Linked DNA regions of Schizosaccharomyces pombe. The protein of the gene in region 2 interacts with the protein of the main gene of each other region in a biochemical or structural test. Each region holds a gene or a part of one and is shown on either strand. Other genes may lie near its edges. The genes, in order: ape2 and hus1.

Region 1 (3,928 bases), on a different chromosome or scaffold from region 2:
TTTTAAGTTTTAAGGGGGCCCAATAAATTACAGTATCTTCTTCGGGTTTAACGTCTCCTGTTGACAAAAATCGATGTTGCTCAATTAAAAGCTCTCCATCATTGGTTTCAGAAACGGATAGCACGGGATAACCTGTCTTCTTAGTCCAATTGTGCATAGTGGAAGAGATGTCCTGACCTGATTCTGCCGACAAGGCAGCCCATAAGTCTTCCGTAACTGTGTTACCATAACGGTGCTTAGAAATGTATTTTTGAATACCCTTAATAAACGTATCTTCGCCAACATACTTGCTAACCATGCGGATAACACAAGAACCTTTAGAGTAAGAGATAGCGTCAAATATTTGGTTAATTTCGTAATCGTGCATAATGGGAACTTCAATAGGATGACTGGAACGAAGTGCATCCAACGAAAGAGCAGATTGAAGGTTGTCTGTAACATAAGATTCCCAAACCTTCCATTCAGGGTAAAAATGGTTACAGCTAAACCATGACATCCAGGTAGCGAAACCCTCATTAAGCCATAAGCCGTCCCAAAATTGCATGGTAACAAGATTACCAAACCACTGATGGGCTAATTCGTGTTGTACAACTTCGGCTACACGTTCAATTACAGTAGCAGCGGAATCCTCAGAAACCAAGATGGCAGCAAGTCTGTAGGTAACTAAACCCCAATTTTCCATAGCACCTGCTTCAAAATCAGGAATAGCAACCATATCGCATTTGGGTAAAGGATATGGCTCGCCAAATACACCAGAGAAGAAGTCTAAGGTCTTAGCACCTAATTCCGCAGCAAATTTACCCTGTTCGGAAAACCCAGGTGTAGTATAAACACGAACAGGAAGACGGGGGCAATGCTTGCCAGGGGTGAAATACTCAACGTATTCGAGTTCGGCAACAATCCAAGCCAAAAGGTAAGTGGACATTCGGCAAGTTTCGGCAAAACGGGCAGTTTTCAAACCATCCTTGACAGTTTCCTCAACGGCATTCATGTTACTAAGGATAGTATAGTTTTCCTTAGCAGTGATATCGATGGTAAAGGTAGCTTTCAAAGCAGGTTCATCCCAGCAGGGGAAAGCACGACGAGCACTAGTAGGCTCCATCTGGGTCGTGGCAAGATACTTGGTATTACCATCGCTGTCAACGTAACTAGAGCGGTAGAAACCCTCCATGCCACTGGAAATACGGGCAGTGAAAGGCAACGTCAAAACAGCAACAGAGTTGGCTGGGACAGTGGAGGGAAATTGAAGAACGATACGCTCATCCCCATAAGAGACTTCGCTGGCCCAGACGGTTTGGCTGCCCCATTCTAACGCAGCCGTCAAAATACGAAGGTTAATGCCATGTAGAGTAATACTGTTGCTGTCCTCAAGTACATCCAAGGTAACGACGACTTTACCGCCGTAAGTGAACGTCTCCAAATCTGGATATAAACTCAAATCATAGTGGATGGGTTTAACATTTTTTGGAAGCAAATTCCGATTTTTATCGTCTTCCTTAGAAGTAGATTTAGGAATGGTGACTTGCATTTTTACAAAAGAAAAATAACGCTGAAAATCAATACAGCTAAACTAGCCAGAGCAATAATGAAGCTGAATAGAGCAAATGTGATACGATAGTGGGAAAGGTGAAGGAAGAATTTGCCAACTAATTAAATAATGGTACAAAAACCGTAGGAAGATGGAATTACGAACGATGAGTCAGTTAGTTAGAAAAAGTATCGATACGAACAAACAAACAGCCGATAACGATCGATAGAGTAATTCAACAGACTCCTTAATTAATCTTAAAAAACCTAACGTTAATTTTAAATTTTAATAGTCAAAGAAATGTAGATGTCGTTTTCCACGCTGTGGAAATGAGAACGATGGGAAACGGGATGGAACAGATGATAATTTGTCCAACAACGCTGAAAAGCACACGATTACACACTTAAACGTAATGATATTTTCCAAGCAACAAACGAAAAACGTAAAGACACTAAACGACGAAAAGATGTAATAGGTCTAAGCTGCCAATGAAGATGGTTAAGTAGGTAGTTGGTGTAAGTAGAAGGTTGGTGAAAGCACTATGTGTGTGTGCCCAGGATATATAAGCGTCTGATGGAGTAAGCATAGTTTCTTCACGTAACATAAGTATCATAAACAACTTATTTTAAAGTAACAACAACAAATGATAAACCCCAATGTCGTAACCGACTCGAAATCCCATATCCAAGGTGATTTTAGGGAGTATAAACGAGCTCTCCTTAAAACAAAAACAGAAGCAACTAGTTAGATATTGATTGATGCTATGAATTCTGCTGCTTTTTTAAGATAAAAAATATTAAATGTAAAACAAGAAGAAACACATCTTGTAGCTTGACAGTTGAGAGAAAACATTTCAAAATCCCCCGAATGTGCTAATGTTGGTGACTTTATCACTCAGTGGAAGATGAGATAGTTAAAGAAACCGGAGCTTTTCGATGTTTAGAATAAAACCACGCAAAAATATATTACCGTTTTGTGCAGAAAAAACTACATCACTTTTCTTGGTTCCGAAGCGCTAAAATTACCGTCGATAAATAGAATAGACAATTCAAGGCAAGACTTGTAACAAGAAAAAAAAGATTTATCCCTCACATAGCAAGGCGTTTTTATTAGGCTTAGAATATTTGGTCTTCAAAAACAGTAAAGCTCGTCCAAGCCAAAAATACTTGGTCTCATCGGTGGTAACGATTGTTTGATTCTATTTACAAACTGCCTTTCTTTCTAAGATTGCTGCGGAGCTTTTCTACTTTGCCTAAGAAAAATGAAATCGGCAGTGCATGTCTTATGACAAAAAAATTTTTGCCCAAGAATATAATTACTTACTGCTCGACTCGCTTATTGTCAATCCTCCTTTAATACCAAAGTCTATTTCTACATATTTGGTAGCACGATCATAGAATTTACGCCAAACGAACGTAAATTTCAATTCCAATCTAATAAATCGTTTGTATGTCACTTAATCGCTCTCATCGTTTCTTCATTCCCGACATCATATTTTTTAATACTTACCGTAACAAAATAAACAAGGGTAAAATTGTCTGGAAACAAAATTACAATACAATTTTGATAATTGACTTTCTTTTGCAATGTGCCGTATACCTCCTTTTATAAGATAAGATCCTCGGATATTGCAGAGAAACACCAACGACTCCTACGATTATAGGATCCTTCCGCACCATTTTAGTGCCCCAGTGTGGGAACTTAATAGATACAACAGAGATAACGATAAGGTGAACAAATATGAAATGCATCTAAACGTTAAACGACATACAGCATGTGCATTGTTAATACCCGTGGAGAAGACAGAGCAAAGAACACTAGGATTTTTTCTTTTATCCACGGCACAATCAACTATGATATTTCACATTACAGCCATAATAGTGACAAAATAGAAATGAACGTAGCTTGTTAAACCCATTGAGTATCCTGTCCGACAAACAAGCTGTCCCTATAACACTAAAAAATGGAAGAAATTTCGATAATTCAAAATTAAGTAAACAGCAGGTTTTTAAAACCCACGAATACAACCAAAATTTACACAAGACAGACAAATACAACCAACACATAACATGAATAATATTAAAATGAATTAAAAAACATTAATGAGTCATACAAAAAATTTAAAACTTATACTACAAAGCAAAAAGCTATCTGAACTACCGACCCACAGAAAAAGTATCAATATGACTATTCCTGTAAGGGCACTAAGATGTCCAATATGGCTCTGGCCCACGTATGACGCTCAAACCATTCCATGGAAAAAGAAAAAGAAAAGTGAGCAACACGAATTGTGGGCGTCGGTATATAACCGCACGATAGGGAAACTTCAACTTAACAAACTCACGTTTATAGACCTTTGTGACTGTTTTTTAAACCCTACCCTTTTAAGTAATTTGTTTG
Region 2 (3,928 bases):
TCAATTTATATGTCTGTATATGTGTTGTTTATGTAGCGGATTTCCCCGGATACCTCTCCATATTTAAGTTATTGTGGGATTTTCACTATCGTTACCTCTATTGCGATACCAACTTTTCTAGGTAACAACGTTCAGCCCCTTTCGTACTGAATGTTGGTACAGTTTACATGTGTAGCCGACTGCATCGGAGGAGGAATAACTATCGAACATAGTCAATTCCGATGACAGACAGCCTGAAATTTTCGCACTTTTAAAGAGGAACTCGCCATTTTCATCACTTCTACGTAAAATGTATAGCGATGCCTCCAAAGTACAAGAAAGAATAGGCGGAAATTAATAGAAGCTACAGTCAATGGCATATATCTTCTCAAAAAAACGATTAAAATATTCAATTTTTATTAAGTATATATTTCCCATTGAGCACTTAAATGTTCAATTGAGACTTTATAGATTTCTGAACAGTTGCTTGTCTAAAAGATTAAAGAAAGATGAACCAAGGTTTATTCATATTCAAGTTAATTGCTTGAAAACATACGTTTGTGTTTAATCGTATGTATCTCTCATTGAAAACGTGAAAACATATGGATTTTATCAACAGATTTTCTGTGACTTGAACATTATATTTCTTTTTGGTGTTATCCTTTTAAGAGATATCAACGGAATAGTAAAACACTGAGTTGCCGAGATTACAACAACTGTATAAAATAAATAAAAAAGAACGGTAAGATCGATAAAGGAAGAGAGAGAAAATAAGTATAAGCATGGTAGATGTTGATTAATCTCTTTTCATTTTAATGTACATTAAAAATGTGGCTAGTCACTCATAACAATTATTCGTTAATTAAATCAAATCATAAACAAATTGAAGTAACCTTAGTCCACATAGGTACTAATGTAGTATGTTAAAACAGCCGTATGTTCATCTTCTGGATCTGTTATATAAACATAAAGTACTAGCGCATGTCCTTCACAGAAACCTGTAATGTAAAAAGGTTAGTTCGTGGTCATAAAAAGGATTCTCTCATAGTACATACACGCTATTACACGCTTTGCAACACTGGATATTTTTAACATGTTGACTAAGTCCTTGCTGTCTAGTCTCATGTGAACAAATTCTTCGGGTGCCCTTGTTTGAGAGGGATGTCGACTGATGTCTTCGACTTGACTAGGATCTAACTCTGGATTCTCTAATCCTTTCCATTTTGTGCTTACTCTAGCTGAAGGTATGTTTACCGATAACTGCAATTCGCCTGACATGTTGGCTGACATTATAATACGGTCTGAAAGACTCTTGTATTTGTCCACGACGTGTCTTAGAAAATTCAGTTGTGGAAGGAATATATGACAGTCTGGTTCAGGAGCAGTTGGTTCCTTAATAACTGACACGTATGATTGTGATAGTACTCGAACAGGTATATTATGAGTCACAATATTCGAACCAAACGCCCTTCCACTCCAAGTGGTAGACAACGAAAGTAATGGCTGGTTATTCTTCTTGGATAGACGAACAGTAGAATCACTAGCGTTGGCCGCTGATCGTAAGGCTTTATAGAAATTATCTATAGGAACTTCTAGATTTATCACGTTGTCTGCATTGCTTTGGACGACATAGTCCTCAAATATTGTTTCCTTTCCGTTTACGTTAGTTAGGGCAATCAAATAGAAAAAGATAGTTAATCATACGACTTCTAAAACTCTGTTTCTTTATTAGTTTCACAATGTGATTTTTTTCACCGTTAAATGCTTAATATCTTCACTTACGACCAAACTTGAGTCATCCTAAAATCTGGCACTATCACAAAATTTACAGTTTCAGGCATCAGACGAAGCCAGCAAAATCTTCCAATTTTATCTAGCGCCTGAACAAGACCTAAATTTGATTAGTAAACGAACTTTCTGCTGATCTTTTCCAACTTACGCGTCAACGTGTACAAGTTGCTAATCCTTGTTTTAAATCTCATTTTCAGTCTTTGATTTAACTAATGAGATTGAGATTTTTTGGCATTTTGTTTATTCAAGCGTTTAGCAGGTTAAAGTCGACCAATAATAAATTTTCGGTCGAAAAAACTACGAACGCGTAAAAGCCAGCTAAGAAATAGCAAACTGGGCATTAGCAACTGCATCGCAATCTTTATTAAGCAAATGCAAATTTTAATGGCAAGTGGAATAAAATTAATGAATAAAATTTAAAAAGATTTACAAAAGTCTTAGAGTCTAAAAAAAATTATACTCAAGAGCCTATTCGTTGTATCATTTATTTCATACGATTAGCTATTCCTAAATTTTAAATTACATTAAAAAAATAAATGGCAAGTAAGAAGGGTTCTAGCTAGAGCAGGAACATTGAATTTGGCTTTTGGAGGGAGTAGTGTTATAGCATAAATAATCCTCTTCTTCCTTGGAAAACCCCCAAGTATCTTCGAACGGACAGGCAGCCATTTTACACACTTTTTTAAAAAGCTCAAATTTCCCGATGTATGCTTCTTTAATCACCTCTTCAAGAACCCAATTTCTAAGAGTAAAATGTGGGTTGACTTTTTTCATGCTCGCTAATCGGGATGAATCTTCCTGAGTTTTCGTTGCTTCACTATATCGACCAACCCAATTAGTGAAAGCTTTGACAGATTCATTTCTAACTCTTTCATTATTCGGGTTTAGACAAATACATGCTTGCATCAATTTTGCAGCATATTCTTCATTCTCCATTGAAGAGGGAGAGTTTCTAGAAAGAAAGGAAAAACAATTTGGCATATCCAATTCATAATCCTCCAAAATTTGTAACAAATCAGTTATCAGAATTTTGTTAGATGAGTCAGAGGGAAGACCCACTCGTTTGAACATAAGATCATAGAAATCATTCTGGACAATATTTTTATACTCTTCTACTATCTTTTCAAAAACTTCAGAAGTATAAGCAAACGCCTTTTTTAACAAATCAGTAGAGTTATGAAGTTGTTCCATATATTGCAAGTCATCAACTTTGTCGCAAGCTCCAATTAACTCAACCAAAGCAGATGCTAATTTTGATAAATTCCAAATAATAATATCAGGTTGGTTGCGATATGAATATCGCAAAAATACATCGTCATGATTAGGTGTAAAAGATGGGTTGTAAACATCTAAAAATCCAAAAGGTCCATAATCAATTGATAGTCCCAGTATACTGGTATTATCAGTATTCAAAACACCATTCATAAATCCATATGCTTGCCATTTGGCTACAGTTTTAGCATTTCGATATGCAACATCTCGAAGAAGTTTTTCGTAGCGATTTCCAGTATCTCCACCATGAAATCCATCTTTTAAAACGAAATTTAGACAATAGTCGGCTAATTTCCGTAAAGACTCAATTTGATTATTAATCCCCTGGAGATCGAAAGTCCCAATTCTGATCCAAGAAGGGGCCATACGGCAAACAACGGCGCAAGGCTCTACAGTCTCACGTTGTGCTACAACACCTTCAAGATTGGAAATTGCCAGAGCCTGTGTTGTTGGAATGCCTAGAGCATATAAAGCTTCACAACATAAATATTCTCGAATGCTAGATCTTAAAACAGCCTTTCCATCTGCAAATCGAGAGTATGGTGTTCTTCCTGCGCCTTTGACTTGAATCTCAAAGCGTTTTCCAGTTTCCGGGTTGGTAAGTTCGCATAAGGATACTACGCGGCCATCACCCAACTGACCTGCCCAATCCCCAAATTGGTATCCTCCATAACATTGCGCCCAAGGACAACACTTATTGACATCAACGTTAGAACCGACAACAAGCTGTTGAAAAGCTTCAGTTTGAGTTTCAGATTCTTCGAGTCCTAATGACTTCACGGACGAAGGGCTATAAGCTAATAATTGAGAATTGGCTTTTAGTGATGGAGTCAAATAAGTAAATAAGCCGCCGCCTTCCACAAATCGAGGAACATGTAAGATTCTG

Evidence for each region.
Region 1: the proteins of hus1 (region 2) and ape2 form a complex in vitro, tested with the Schizosaccharomyces pombe proteins (one study listed by BioGRID).

What each region holds. Positions count from the first base shown.
Region 1 is NC_003423.3:2,411,107-2,415,034, reverse strand, and holds the start of ape2 (aminopeptidase Ape2), read right to left. Parts: upstream 2,058-3,928; 5' UTR 1,529-2,057; coding exon 1-1,528. Other genes in the region: SPOM_SPBC1921.04C (uncharacterized protein), read left to right, coding at 3,631-3,928.
Region 2 is NC_003424.3:4,820,618-4,824,545, forward strand, and holds hus1 (checkpoint clamp complex protein Hus1), read right to left. Parts: upstream 2,087-3,928; 5' UTR 1,962-2,086; coding exon 1,919-1,961; exon of another isoform or gene 1,871-1,918; coding exon 1,762-1,870; exon of another isoform or gene 1,697-1,761; coding exon 1,684-1,696; exon of another isoform or gene 1,630-1,683; coding exon 1,035-1,629; exon of another isoform or gene 978-1,034; coding exon 874-977; 3' UTR 370-873; downstream 1-369. Other genes in the region: fmp40 (adenylyltransferase), read right to left, coding at 2,326-3,928. UniProt on the Schizosaccharomyces pombe protein: Essential in controlling the S-M checkpoint that couples mitosis to the completion of DNA replication. It is also required for the response to DNA damage.